Caenorhabditis elegans: one gene and its partner. The protein of the gene in region 1 interacts with the protein of each later gene in a pairwise test. Each region holds a gene or a part of one and is shown on either strand. Other genes may lie near its edges.

The links.
Region 2: the proteins of aqp-8 (region 1) and erm-1 interact in a two-hybrid assay, tested with the Caenorhabditis elegans proteins (one study listed by BioGRID).

Annotation. Positions count from the first base shown.
Region 1 is NC_003284.9:4,701,507-4,706,757, forward strand, and holds aqp-8 (Aquaporin-9), read right to left. Parts: upstream 3,465-5,251; 5' UTR 3,463-3,464; coding exon 3,361-3,462; intron 3,313-3,360; coding exon 3,054-3,312; intron 2,694-3,053; coding exon 2,575-2,693; intron 2,166-2,574; coding exon 2,058-2,165; intron 2,004-2,057; coding exon 1,758-2,003; coding exon of another isoform or gene 1,707-1,757; exon of another isoform or gene 1,459-1,706; intron 1,353-1,458; coding exon 1,297-1,352; intron 1,071-1,296; coding exon 968-1,070; 3' UTR 617-967; downstream 1-616.
Region 2 is NC_003279.8:5,284,585-5,292,430, reverse strand, and holds the start of erm-1 (Moesin/ezrin/radixin homolog 1), read left to right. Parts: upstream 1-1,736; 5' UTR 1,737-1,795; coding exon 1,796-1,813; intron 1,814-1,912; coding exon 1,913-1,996; intron 1,997-2,237; coding exon 2,238-2,438; intron 2,439-4,112; coding exon 4,113-4,267; intron 4,268-4,589; coding exon 4,590-4,749; intron 4,750-4,797; coding exon 4,798-4,980; intron 4,981-5,719; coding exon 5,720-5,899; intron 5,900-5,981; coding exon 5,982-6,329; intron 6,330-6,862; coding exon 6,863-6,968; intron 6,969-7,045; coding exon 7,046-7,212; intron 7,213-7,740; coding exon 7,741-7,833; 3' UTR 7,834-7,846.

The DNA of each region.
Region 1 (5,251 bases):
GTACAACTTGCAATTGTTATAAATTATAATCTTTTTCATTTGCCTATGACGCTAATAAAAGATCAAGCATGCACATTAAGTGGAAAGTTATATCGAGTTGCAACCGAAATTTGAGTTATTGCTTTTATTTTTTGCTTGCAGAGCAGTGAAAAAGAAAAACGAGAATGTGTACTTGCGATTTGAAAAATATGTACATAAATCAGTTTTCCTAATAACTCTGAAAAATAATTGTTTTTCTTTATTAGTATGGCATGAATGAGAAATTTTTGAAAAATTTTAGAAAAGTTAAAAAATACTAGTTTTCATTTTCTAGAGGTAAAATTTTATTATAAAAATAAGGTCTATTGAAAAACAAACTATGAGCCTAAATAAATTATTCAAAAGTAGACCAAAACATTTTCACAAGTGAGGCTGTAAAGTGCAATATAAATATTTACTAAAAGTTTATGAAAATTAACACAAAATAGAAATGATGATGTTATCAGGTGTTTCTTTGTGATTTTCCTATAAAAAGTTGAAAACCTGGAAGGGTTTCTAGAGCAGTGTTCTATTTTTTTTACACATTGGTTGTTTGTTTTCAATGACCTGTTAATTCCGAATAAACAGTAGTTTTTGCTAATAGTCAGAATGTATTCTTTTTAATAACTGTTAAGAGCAATATTTAATTAAATAGTATCTTTTTTTGTTCACATGTTAGATTAAAATAGGAAAAAAGTTCAGATAAAGATCAGAGGAGCATTGAACGCAAGTTGAACATTTAGATAAATACCAAAAACATTGTTGGACAAAGCAAGGCATTAAAACGTGTAGGAAAAACAAAGTTCGTTGAAAGAATAGGCACATACAGAATGAAGACAATCGGGGTATAGTGTGTGGATCAAGAGCTAATCGAAACAACTGGACAATATAAATAAAATGAAAGAGAAATGAGTGGTGGGGGGGGGGGGAGGGCAATACAGCCAGTACTCTAATATCGACGGTCTGCTGTTGTAATTTGCGTACGGCTAGATTCAAAAACCTGATAGCTGGGAGTGTATGTTCTTGGTGCTGCAATTTCTCCGCCGCGGGCCCTGGAAACGAGATATGGTGCCTGGTAGTGGTCGAATGAAACATATAATTTGTTGGTTAGACCAGTACAAATTATTGTCCTAGGCTATGTAAATTCGGTGCGAAAAGTGTAATATAATCGATAAAAAGATCAATGATATTATAAAATCCAACACGAATAAGATCAAATTTCGCAGACTTTGTTGCTGTCTGTTATACAAAGACTGATCCTTGGACAGGTCTTCTCACCTGGACAAAGTGTTATCGTATCCTATCAAGATGCCTTCCGAATTTCTCTGCATTTCCTGCAACATTATTGTTTCTTTATCTTTCACCTGATTTGTAGATTGTTTCATTTTGTTCAACATGCTAAATGTAAATAAAATGCAAAATAAAATGAAAAAATAAATTAAGAATATGTATATACATTATTTATTAATTGCAGTCTTTCCAAATTGAAACAAAACCAAATGCGAATGCAAAACCAATAAAAAAATGAAATCGAGATTGACAGGTTTCATATTGAATATTATTACAAACTTGCATGTTAGTATCAAGGTAACAAATGTGTGTATTGTGTTAGAAACGTATAATTGGAGGCTCCCAAAGAGCAGGGGGCTGAAATTAGTTAAAGCAATTTATAACAGTTGCTCACAGAATTAATAGCTTCCACTACTGTCACTATACTCTCTGTCAACTTTCACACTAACATTAAATCCTTTGGCTGGTTGAATGTCAAGACTCTCATTCATTCCATGAAGTCCTACGAAAATCTTATAGATCCAGGCTCCAATGATCGAACCGATGAGAGCACCAACAATTGGAATCCAGAAATAATATCCATGAGCGCTGAAAACTTCCCAGCCATATCCGGCACAGAGGCAGAAAACGCGTGGTCCGAAGTCACGAGCTGGGTTGATTGCAAATCCGCCGTTAGCTCCAAAAGTCATTGCGACCTGCAATTATAAAATTATAAAACTTTTAGTGAGATGTGTACATTAAGTGCATACCATGCTCATAATACTTCCAGCAAGAACAGGAACAACACCGGTCGGGATTTGGTGGCGTTTATCAGTGATAAGACAGACCAAGCCAGACAGCATGGCTGTTCCAATAATCTGCAAGAGAGAATGTACTTGATGTATCATTAAATCAGTAGGTGTTATGTTATATCCGTCAGCAACCTCAATTACTCAAATTGGTCAATGTCATTTTTTGATTTCTGATCAGCAGTGTTCTTGAGAAAAGCAGAAAAGGAGCGTGAAGTGTTCTCGCGTTTAATTCTTATAATTTGATTACAGAAAAGTCAATCAGATCTCGTTTTTTGATGATCGACAAAACCAAGTAACTCAAACCACTGTCTTATGTAGTTTATGTTTTAGAGGGCGGTTGCAAAAAAAAAAGTTGAACCGATCTGTCAGCAATTACCAAACGGATCAATCATAGTGTGTCGCGCTTAATTTAGATGTGCAATTGAAAGAGAACCGCGTTCCTAAAAACGTCGTTTCGGTCTAAAAATAAACTAACCTGGTCGAGAAGACTTCCCCATACTGACATGTGATCCGGTGGGAACGTGGTGAACAGTCCAGCGGTGGCTTGACCTCCAGTCACCTGACGGATGCCGCCGTCCAGCTTCCACAGATCGTCTGTAATTTGGATAATTTGAAACTGATGACTTACAGAGGATCAATGGACTACATTATATCCCATGTATGGGCCTAACTATGTATAAACATGGATCAGAAGTTGCCAATATATTGGCAAACCTTTGGCAGGCTTGGTCTAGGTTCTCGGCGCTCCAAGTTTATCTTGTGCGCAGTCTTAGCTAAAGGTTTTCCTAATTTTTTTTTCAATATTTCAGATAATTTATTATTTTTAGTCCAATCTTTGACAAGAATCCAGCGCCACAATTATTTCAACCTAATTATATCACTCATAGTAGCAGAAATCAAGATTTCACAGCTAATTCACACAATGCTCACACGAACAAACTCATTCAAACTAACCGTGATGTCCAAAATAGGCAACAGCTGCGCCGAGGAATGCTCCAATAACTTGAGCAATGGCATATGGAATGATCTTCCATGGAGGCAGATTTCCGAGAATGCTTTGTGCGACGGAGATGGCTGGATTCAAATGGCCTCCAGAAACACTGGCGGCAAGATAGACTGCGAACATGAACCCGATTCCCCAGGCAATATGGCAAGACGTTGAGTTACCACCAACTGCTACAGCAGCTTGAATGTTGGCTGCATTTCCGATAAGCTGAAATATAGGCGATTTTCAGATTTATTCCTAAATGTATGAACTTACCAAGAGGAAGAAGGTTCCAATGCATTCTGCTAAGAGCTCTCTTGTGAATTGTTGATCTTCAATTCGCAATATACTGGCAACTTTGTCTTGAAAGACACCCATATCTAAAAATAAATAAATTATAGAAACGGATCGCAGAAAAAAAAGAAATGGTAATGGACGGAAAATGTCCTTATCTAGAAGGCGTGCGCTGATTTTAAATAGGGAAGTGGACACTGTCGAAACTTCAGAATGGGCGGGATGTTACGGTAGGCCCTGATATTCTACTAACACGAAAAATAGATAAAACAGAGGCGGGTGAAAAGTTTTTGGGTTTGGGAACTACTTATCATAATCCAGATTGATTGACTCGCAATTCCAGTATGCAAATTTTGGCAATCATTTTGCGGTTACGCATTCAACAGTGAATCATATACAACTACTATAAACATTTAGGGGTGCTCAAGTTACATTTTCATGGCTATAACCTAATTGTGTCTAAAATGACTTTTGGAAATTTTCAAAGAATTTTTTCGAATACCTTTCACATGACTTTTTTGTATCAAATTCAATTATGCGCAACATCTAAAAGTTCAATTCCAGTTCGGATTCAACTAGTTCAGAGGAATGTTTATTTTTCGTAAGAATAATAATGAGTGCAAAATATGAATTCACACACCGACAGGTCATTCATATTTTTATGCGTTGTCTGGACCAGACTCTGGAATGCAAGTTTGCGCCTTTGCACATCGTGATAGCATTATCCAATTCATAACTTCAATTGTTAGGAATATCAAGTACTAAAAACTATTTTTAATCGTCTTATTGTCCCGGAACTTTTTTTTTCAATAAATTCCGATTCTTCTGAAGTCAGGTGCATGGAATTGAAGCGTCCAATAAAGGTCGAAACCCAAATCAAATGACATTGAACATCAGTTATCAAAGTTGCAGGAAATGGCAACTTTCAAAGATTGCGCAAAAATAGATACCCATCTTTCTTTTTTTTTCTCAATTTATTTTAGAAATCATCAAATTGACTTTCACAAAAATTTAATATAACATGAAGGTCGTTAGAAGAAGTGAAATTTGATTTTTTGGACAGATAAGATAATTTTTAAATCTGGAAACATTTGAAAGTCCCGGCGAACATTTGAGATTCGACCTTAATAATTTATGTGATCTTCTCATCTTGTAGTCGGAAGTTATGATATCAAAAGTCATTTTTCATTATCTTTAATGTGTATTTAAGGTTATTGATAGAAATAACCATTGAAGGTCACATGTAATAACTCAAAGTACAGGTCGTTGAATGAAGATGCAAAAAAACTTTCCAGCCCAATATTAGAATTGTTCCTGATGTTATGGCGGATTCTTGGATATCAAGTCAATCTTGATCTGGTGGCTAACAAATTTGACGAATTTCGTGACTAATTGAGGTTTTGAGGTTGCTGCTGTAGAGATAACTTTGATGAAGTGAAAGATAAAATGCATCAGGAACACACGAAACATCCTTAAGTGGAACACGGAAAAGGATAAGATTTCCATAATTTTTGTCAGCATCTGAAATATGGAAGAGCATTAATTGAAAACTCAAAATAAAAAATAAAAAATTGGTTTTTTGAAAATAATTTTGAAATTTTTTTCATCTTTAGCAGAGGTCATAATAGGAGGCGAGCATCCAATTCAGATAACATCTCTCAATTTATTGAAACGTTTCTAAGAATGCAAGAAACTTTGAAAACCTTACGGAGCAATAAAAATCACAATTTGGGCTCTAATATTTCCCAAATAAATTAAAATAAGACAAAATAAGACAAAATTCTTGAAGTAAATTCGTTCCTAGACTAGACAAGATCGGTTCAAAAACAAATTTATTACTTCCAACATTATTGTTCTCCTAATACTATTAAGC
Region 2 (7,846 bases), on another chromosome or scaffold:
TTAGTGTTAAAATATCGAAAAATTACTTGATTCGTCTGAAAATAAACTTCAATTTAGCTAAAACATTTAAGAAAGCTTTTAAAAATGGCCTGAAAATTGCCAGTATCCGATTATCGAATTATCAGATTTTTTGTCTAACAATTTGCAACTTTCCCACCGATTTTGAGCATTTCTTCAAATGTTTCAGCTAAAAATATGTTTCATTTCCAGATAAATCGAGTGATTTTCGATATTTTGACACTAATTTTTAGTGAAAAACGTTGGAACAACATAGCCCAATAATTTTGTAGAATTGCCGGAAATAATAGCCCTGTACCTGTAAATCAAAATCAATATTCCCACCTGTGACACATATTTTTCTGAATAATTTTTTGATTCATGAAACTTTTTCTTTAAAATAATTAAAGCATTAAAAAAAACTCAAACTCGCCAAAACTCCCAAGAAACTGTCCAGGCACCCGAGAATCGCGCCAACGCCCTGCTGGCGCGATTCTCGTGCAGTGGCAAATCGCAGAACGCGCCAAAAACGGATCCGAACGGGTTTGAATCAGACGATGACTCATTTTTTATTGTTTTTCGAGTTTTATTGATTTTTTTTAATCGCCAAATGTATAAATCCCCCTAAAATATACACAATTTTCCATGTGTCACTTTGAATTTTCGGATAAATGATTGAAAAATTAGATTTCTCTATTCAAAATTTAAAATTCATAACCTTGAACTCATTTGTTTCGTTTTCTTCGCTCCGTTTTCTGATTTCTCATGAATTTTTGAAATCTCTGTTCATTCGAATTCTATTTTCACATCTTATTTTACTTTCTTGCAGAAAAAAGTGACGAAGATTTTCGGTGGAAAAGTTTCGTGAATTCTCACCGCTCACCCCAATCCATCTTCGACTCGGACATCAAAAAGAGCTAAAATAATGTCGAAAAAAGCGGTAAGTTTGAAAAATGTAGCTTCAAATAATTTAAAACTTTTACGGCCAAATAAAAAAAAACACTGTTTAAATTTGCGATTTTCTTATTTCTTTCGGAAAAAATGCCGCCATTAATTAAAAACAAATGGAAAAAATTTGAAACTGTGAAATGTTGAATATTTCGGAAATTATGTTCTGTTCAGCACGACTTCTGCCGATTTTTTTAAAAAATAAGAATCTATCGATCTAAAAATATACTCTGTATTTTATTTTTCACTTATAAGACTATAAAGAGGCATATTTCTGCAAAATGGACTCATTTTTGAGGTTTTGTTGAAATTTTCGAAAATAGAGGGTTTCAATACCATTTTGCATAAATGCGCCTCTTTTTAAACATATAAGTGGGAAATAAAATACAAAACATATATTTTTTACAAAATTAATTTAAAAAATTTTAGAAAACAATTCAGATTTTTACGCTTACGAAGTAGAGCCGCGAACAATTTTGAACTCGAAATAAACTCAAAATTGATGATATTTGAAATATCATTTCATTCTTTTTTTTTCTGCCGAAACTTCTATGAAGAAATGCGCACATGTATGTGTGCAAACCGACAAATAGGCGGAGCCTGTACAAAAACGGGCGGTCTATAGTTCTTCTCACTCCGTTTTTGTGCTGTATACAGGGAGAGAGAGTGACAACTCATATCATTTAGTTTTAGATAAGAATTTTAAATTCTCAAGTTTCACTCTTTTTTTTATTTTGAATTTCTGATTTTCATGCAAGATTTCTTATATCATTTTACTGAAAAATTTTAAGCTAACCTCTTCATATCAATTGGTCCAGCAGTTCAAACTTGTGGAACACAAAATAGAAAAATGGTTGCGGCCGGCGATGTAAATTGTTAATTGAAAAAATTTTTTTTAGAAATTTAAGAAAAAATATAACGAAAAATCGATTTTATTTTTGCCTAATCCAACTATTTCTTGTTTCAGATCAATGTGCGTGTCACCTCGATGGACTCGGAGCTCGAGTTCGCTATTCAGTCGAGCACCACAGGAAAGCAACTTTTTGATCAGGTTAGATGATTTTGTTTTATTATATTTAAAAAGTACTTTTTTTATTAAATTGGAGAATGGATAAATTTTAATAATTCAAAAAAAAAATCAGAATTTTCTGAAACATTAAATTTTCACTAACCATTAGAAATTTTAAATCAAAACGATTTAAATTTGAAAAAAATAATCCAAAATTTCCAGCTCTTGAAATTGAGTTTCGAATTTTCCAGCAATATTAATTCCTTCATTTTAATTTTTGCAGGTTGTCAAAACCATTGGTCTCCGCGAGATCTGGTATTTTGGACTTCAGTACACTGACAACAAGGGATTCCCAACATGGCTGAAATTGAACAAGAAAGTCTTGTCTCAGGACGTTAAGAAGGACCCGACTCTTGTTTTCAAATTCCGCGCCAAATTCTATCCGGAAGATGTGGCCGAGGAGATTATCCAGGATGTCACTATGGTATGTTTGACACCTTTTTTTAAATATTTAATTTTTTGGAAAAAAAAAACTGTAAATTTTCCATTACCTCTGGCCAATATTTGATTTTTAGTTGTAATTCTCACTTTTCGCTTTTCTGACATTCTCTGGCGACTCTCTTGATTTCCTGTGCTATTTCTGATTTGTAACTGATAAGTAGAGAATGCCCGTGCCATTTATGCATGTAATGCAATGTTGGCAAGCAATAGGAAATAACTTTGGAGTATATTCAAGAATAGAAAAAAAGGGGAAAATTTTGGTAAGGAATACATTTCTGTGGTTTTAGAGTACCTTCTTACAAGCTGGCCTGCTTAAAAAGACCCCAAAACGACCAAATTTCAAAATGAAATTTCTCAAAAAATGCCCGAAAATGAATTAAAGCAGTGAAAATTCTGAAAAAAATCCGATATTTTTTCTGTTAAAAAAATCCGATATTTTTGCTAAAATTAGAATAAAGTTTTTTATGCCAGTGATAATTCAATAAAATGGCATTCCGATTTAGGAAAATTTGGCTCTTTTTTGAGAATTTTGGCTCGCTATAAAGAATTTTTGAATTTTTTAAACCAGTTTTATTTGAGCAAAAAAAACTCTTCTGCTCAAAAATTTCCACGGCTCATGTGCTCACAAGGTCCTCAATAAACTGCCTAAAAACAAAATATTTTGATGGTGACAAGTGTAAACATGGGCATTTTCTCCCTTCCGTTTCAAAAAAAGGTTCTCCCATTGAGAGTGTGGTTTCCGATTACCTCCGAGCCACTTTTTTGTCTCACACAAAAAGAGATTGTTTAATGGTTTGTAAACATCGATGGGAAGACACTGTGTGTGCGAGACTCTTTTTTTGAGAGGAGAAATGAGCATCCTATTAGAACCTCCGACTGCGAACAGGAAATCTCTGATCTGGGTGGTCTGTTTTGTTTGAATAGGATCACAAGATCAGTTGAAGATTTCAGTAGAATAGCTATTTAGTACCTATATGCAAATTGATTTAGTACCTATATGCAAATTTAGATCAGTTGTTAAAATTAATGTAAAAATTTCTTTTTTTTTTAAATATAGAAAAATACTTTTATTTCTATGAAAATAACATTTTTCAGTTGAAACATTTGAGAAAATGCACAAAAATGGTCTGAAAGTTTCTAATTCACAAAAAAACCTTTTTTGAGCACTTTCTCAAATGATTCAAAAATATAAATATCACTTCCGGTTAAGTAAATTGATTTTTTCTCTTTTTTTTAGATTTCCAATAATATTTCGCATTTGAATTTGAATAGATAGACTGACTTAAATTCTGTTCCGATGACTCATATCAATGGAAACAATGAAAAAACTCTCAGTTTGTTGCTGTCTCTTTGCTCTTTTTATATTCATGTTCATAACTGACATAAAGAGGAAGAGGAGAATGGCATGTGTGAATAATCAAAAAATGATTCAAAACGATAAATATGAGGGGAAGAGAATATAAATTGAACTTTTTGCAAAATTTGCAGAATTTTTTGTTTGGAAGAGGGAACAATTGGGTTTCAGAATCATTAGTTGAAAATGGAGTATGGTTTTTTAAAATGTCAGAAAACAATCTCAATGTACAGAACATACAGTTAAAAAATTATGAAGTTTTTTAACTGAAATTAAGCCTTAATTAAATGAAAATATTTTCAGCGTTTGTTCTATCTCCAAGTGAAAGATGGAATTCTGTCAGATGAGATTTATTGTCCACCGGAAACCTCTGTTCTTCTTGCCTCTTACGCGATGCAAGCTAAATATGGAGACTATGTTCCAGAGACACATGTCGCCGGATGTCTTACTGCTGATCGGTGAGTTTTTCTTGAAATTAGCTTTTAAAAAAATTATTAATAACTATTAAAAAATATCTTTGCGGTTCAAAATTCCAATCAAGATTACTAAAATAAGAAAAATAATAATTTTCTGCGATAATTCATTTTTAATTATGTAGTGAAATTTCACAGTATCACAGTACTCATACAATTCATAATTATCACATGAAAATGAGATTAGAATAAAGAAGGGAAAGTTCCAGATCTAGATGATCAATAAAAAAGTATATAATAAGAAGTAGTTAAAAAAAAGTAAACTTTTTATATTAAATGCCAAAAATAATTAATTATTTCATTCCAGTCTGCTTCCTCAACGCGTTCTCGGACAATTCAAATTGAACAGTGAGGAATGGGAACGCCGTATTATGACATGGTGGGCAGATCATCGTGCAACTACACGTGAACAAGCTATGCTTGAATATTTGAAAATTGCACAAGATCTCGAGATGTATGGAGTCAATGTACTGTTTCTCATTTTTCTGTCGAGTTTTAAAAAAAGCTAATTTCAGTACTTTGAAATCCGCAACAAAAAGGGAACTGATCTCTATCTTGGTGTCGATGCTCTTGGATTGAATATTTACGATAAAGCTGATCGTCTTTCGCCGAAAGTCGGATTCCCATGGTCGGAGATTCGTAATATATCATTCAACGACAAGAAATTTGTCATCAAACCAATTGATAAGAAGGCTCATGTAAGTGATTACTGTCACACACAGTTTGTCGTGGCATCAAGCTTCTATTTGTTGGCAAAATTTCTGCGGAAAAAACGGAAAAATTGTGTGATAGTAGTTGGAAGTGGTGGTGATAAGAAGCAATCGATGGAACATTGAATTTTGATTTAAAATTTTTTTGTTGGTTTTTCTTATTTTTGGGGTGTGAAAATATCACAATCATTGACCAGATGCGGAATGTTGCGATTTTGAGGCAAAAGTATGGTGCCCGGTCTCGGTCTCGACACGACCGAATAAATTTATTTACCAAAATGGTGTGCACCTTTAAAAAGTAGAGTAGCTCCAGGCCTTTCTGATTTCCAACTTCGTTAGATTTTTCTAGTTTATTAATTAATAAAAATTAGTTTCACTAACAAAAGTAAAATAAAAGGTTTTTACAATAAAAATATTTAGAAAAAATCTATGAAAATTTCAAATCAGCTCAACGGTAACTACTGTACTTTTTAAATGCGCACATCCTTTTTCATTTAAATTTATTCGATCGCCTCGATATCGAGTAATGTGTTTTTGTATCAAAAATCGCAAATTTCGAGATGGATGGAACATTTTGTGGAAATTGAGTTTGTTGTAATTTTTCTGAACATTTTTTCCCCGATTTTTTGATTTTAGAAAAATCGAAAAAAAATTCTTATTTTCGCTGAAAAAAAAATCGAAAAAATGTTTTTCATTATTCGTCTTCATTTTTATCATTAATTTTCAGGACTTTGTCTTCTACGCTCCACGACTCCGTATCAACAAACGTATTCTTGCTTTGTGTATGGGAAATCACGAGCTTTACATGCGTAGAAGAAAGCCAGATACCATTGAAGTTCAACAAATGAAGCAACAAGCCAGAGAGGATCGTGCTCTTAAGATTGCCGAGCAGGAGAAGCTCACCAGAGTAAGTTGCGGAAATTTTTGAAACATGTTTTTACAAATAATTTCTAAAAAAACTTTCACTCAAATCTGTTTTGATCGTACAGGAGATGTCTGCTCGCGAAGAAGCCGAACAGCGTCAACGTGACGCCGAAAAGCGTATGGCTCAAATGCAGGAAGATATGGAGAGAGCTCGTCTTGAATTGGCTGAAGCACACAATACAATTCACTCATTGGAGGCTCAACTCAAGCAATTGCAATTGGCTAAACAAGCATTGGAACAGAAGGAATACGAACTTCGTGAGCTCACTGCTCAACTTCAATCCGAAAAAGCAATGAGTGATGGTGAGAGACGTCATTTGAGAGACCAAGTTGATGCTCGTGAACGTGAAGTTTTTTCGATGAGAGAAGAAGTCGAGAGACAGACTACTGTTACAAGACAACTTCAGACACAGGTATTTTTTATTTTTGAAACTAAAATAGAAACAAAAAATTCTCTTTAAAAAAATTATTTTAAATACCGTATTAACAATTATCGAGCAGTAATTTTCAGTCTGAAATTACTGTTTTAAAATTTTAAAATGAAAAAAAGTATGCAGTAATTCCTGAAATTAGTTGATTACTGTAACAAAAAAGCTTAATTTAAAAAAAAAATTTGCAACAATAAAAGAGATACAAAAAGAAAAAACTAAAAAAAATTGTGAAAGAATAAAAAATCCGATCTTTAAAAGCGAGATTTTTTAATTGTACGCAGTGATGTTGCAACAAAAATTTCGGCCAAAAAACAAACAAATTTTGTTTAAAATTTCTCCAAAAAACCAACAAAAAAAAACAAAAATGTTCATTTTTCGTCATACCAACTAAAACATAAAATTTTTGATAAACATTTTTTTAAATGTTTTCTTGTCCGAAAAAACCAAAAAAAACGGAATCCCTGATTGTAACTCTGGATTTATTTTATTTCAAAATTATTTTTTCTTAAATTCAGATTCACTCGCAACAACACACTCAACACTACTCAAACAGTCATCACGTTTCCAATGGACACGCTCACGATGAGACTGCCACTGATGATGAAGATAATGGAGCAACTGGTATGCCTTTTTTATTTATTTAAAATAATTGGGAGAGATTATGAGAAAAAATATCATCTTCAAATTTTATCTTCCAGAACTCACAAATGACGCTGATCAGAATGTGCCACAACACGAGTTGGAGCGTGTCACAGCAGCCGAGAAGAACATTCAGATCAAGAATAAGCTGGATATGTTGACTCGCGAGCTTGACAGTGTTAAAGATCAGAACGCTGTCACTGACTACGACGTTCTGCATATGGAGGTTCGTATTTTAAAAAAACTCGTTTTAATGGATGGTTTTAGAGAATTTAGCATTCAAAATTTACAGTAATTTTCTAGAACCTGCATTTTTTTCATAAATTCAAGTTTTAAAAAATATTTCCGGACTGCGATCAAAATACAATTTTTTAAAAATTAAATTTGGAAAAAAACAGAAGAACGCAAAAATCTTTAAAAAATATCGAGTTCCGGATTATTTTAAAATAAAAAAAATCATTAAAAATCATTAAAAAGCCATTAAAAACAAATTTTGCTTAAAAATAATTTTATGATATTAAAATTGTTTGAAGTACAGAAATTGAGTTTTTTCGGTGTTTTCTGTTTGCAGACAAACCGAAAACATTTCTGAAAACATTCCAAACTCGGTATTTCCTTTACGGAAACAAGCAACATAAATTTTACTTATTTTTGAACAAGTTTGACCCTAAATTTTTTAGATTTTTTGAGCGAAACCGAAATATCGAAAAACCGAAAAACCTGCCGGCCCGATTCCAAATTTTTAAATTTTCAGAACAAAAAGGCCGGACGCGACAAGTACAAGACTCTCCGTCAAATCCGTGGAGGAAACACAAAACGAAGAATCGATCAATACGAAAATATGTAATTATTTGTTCTAT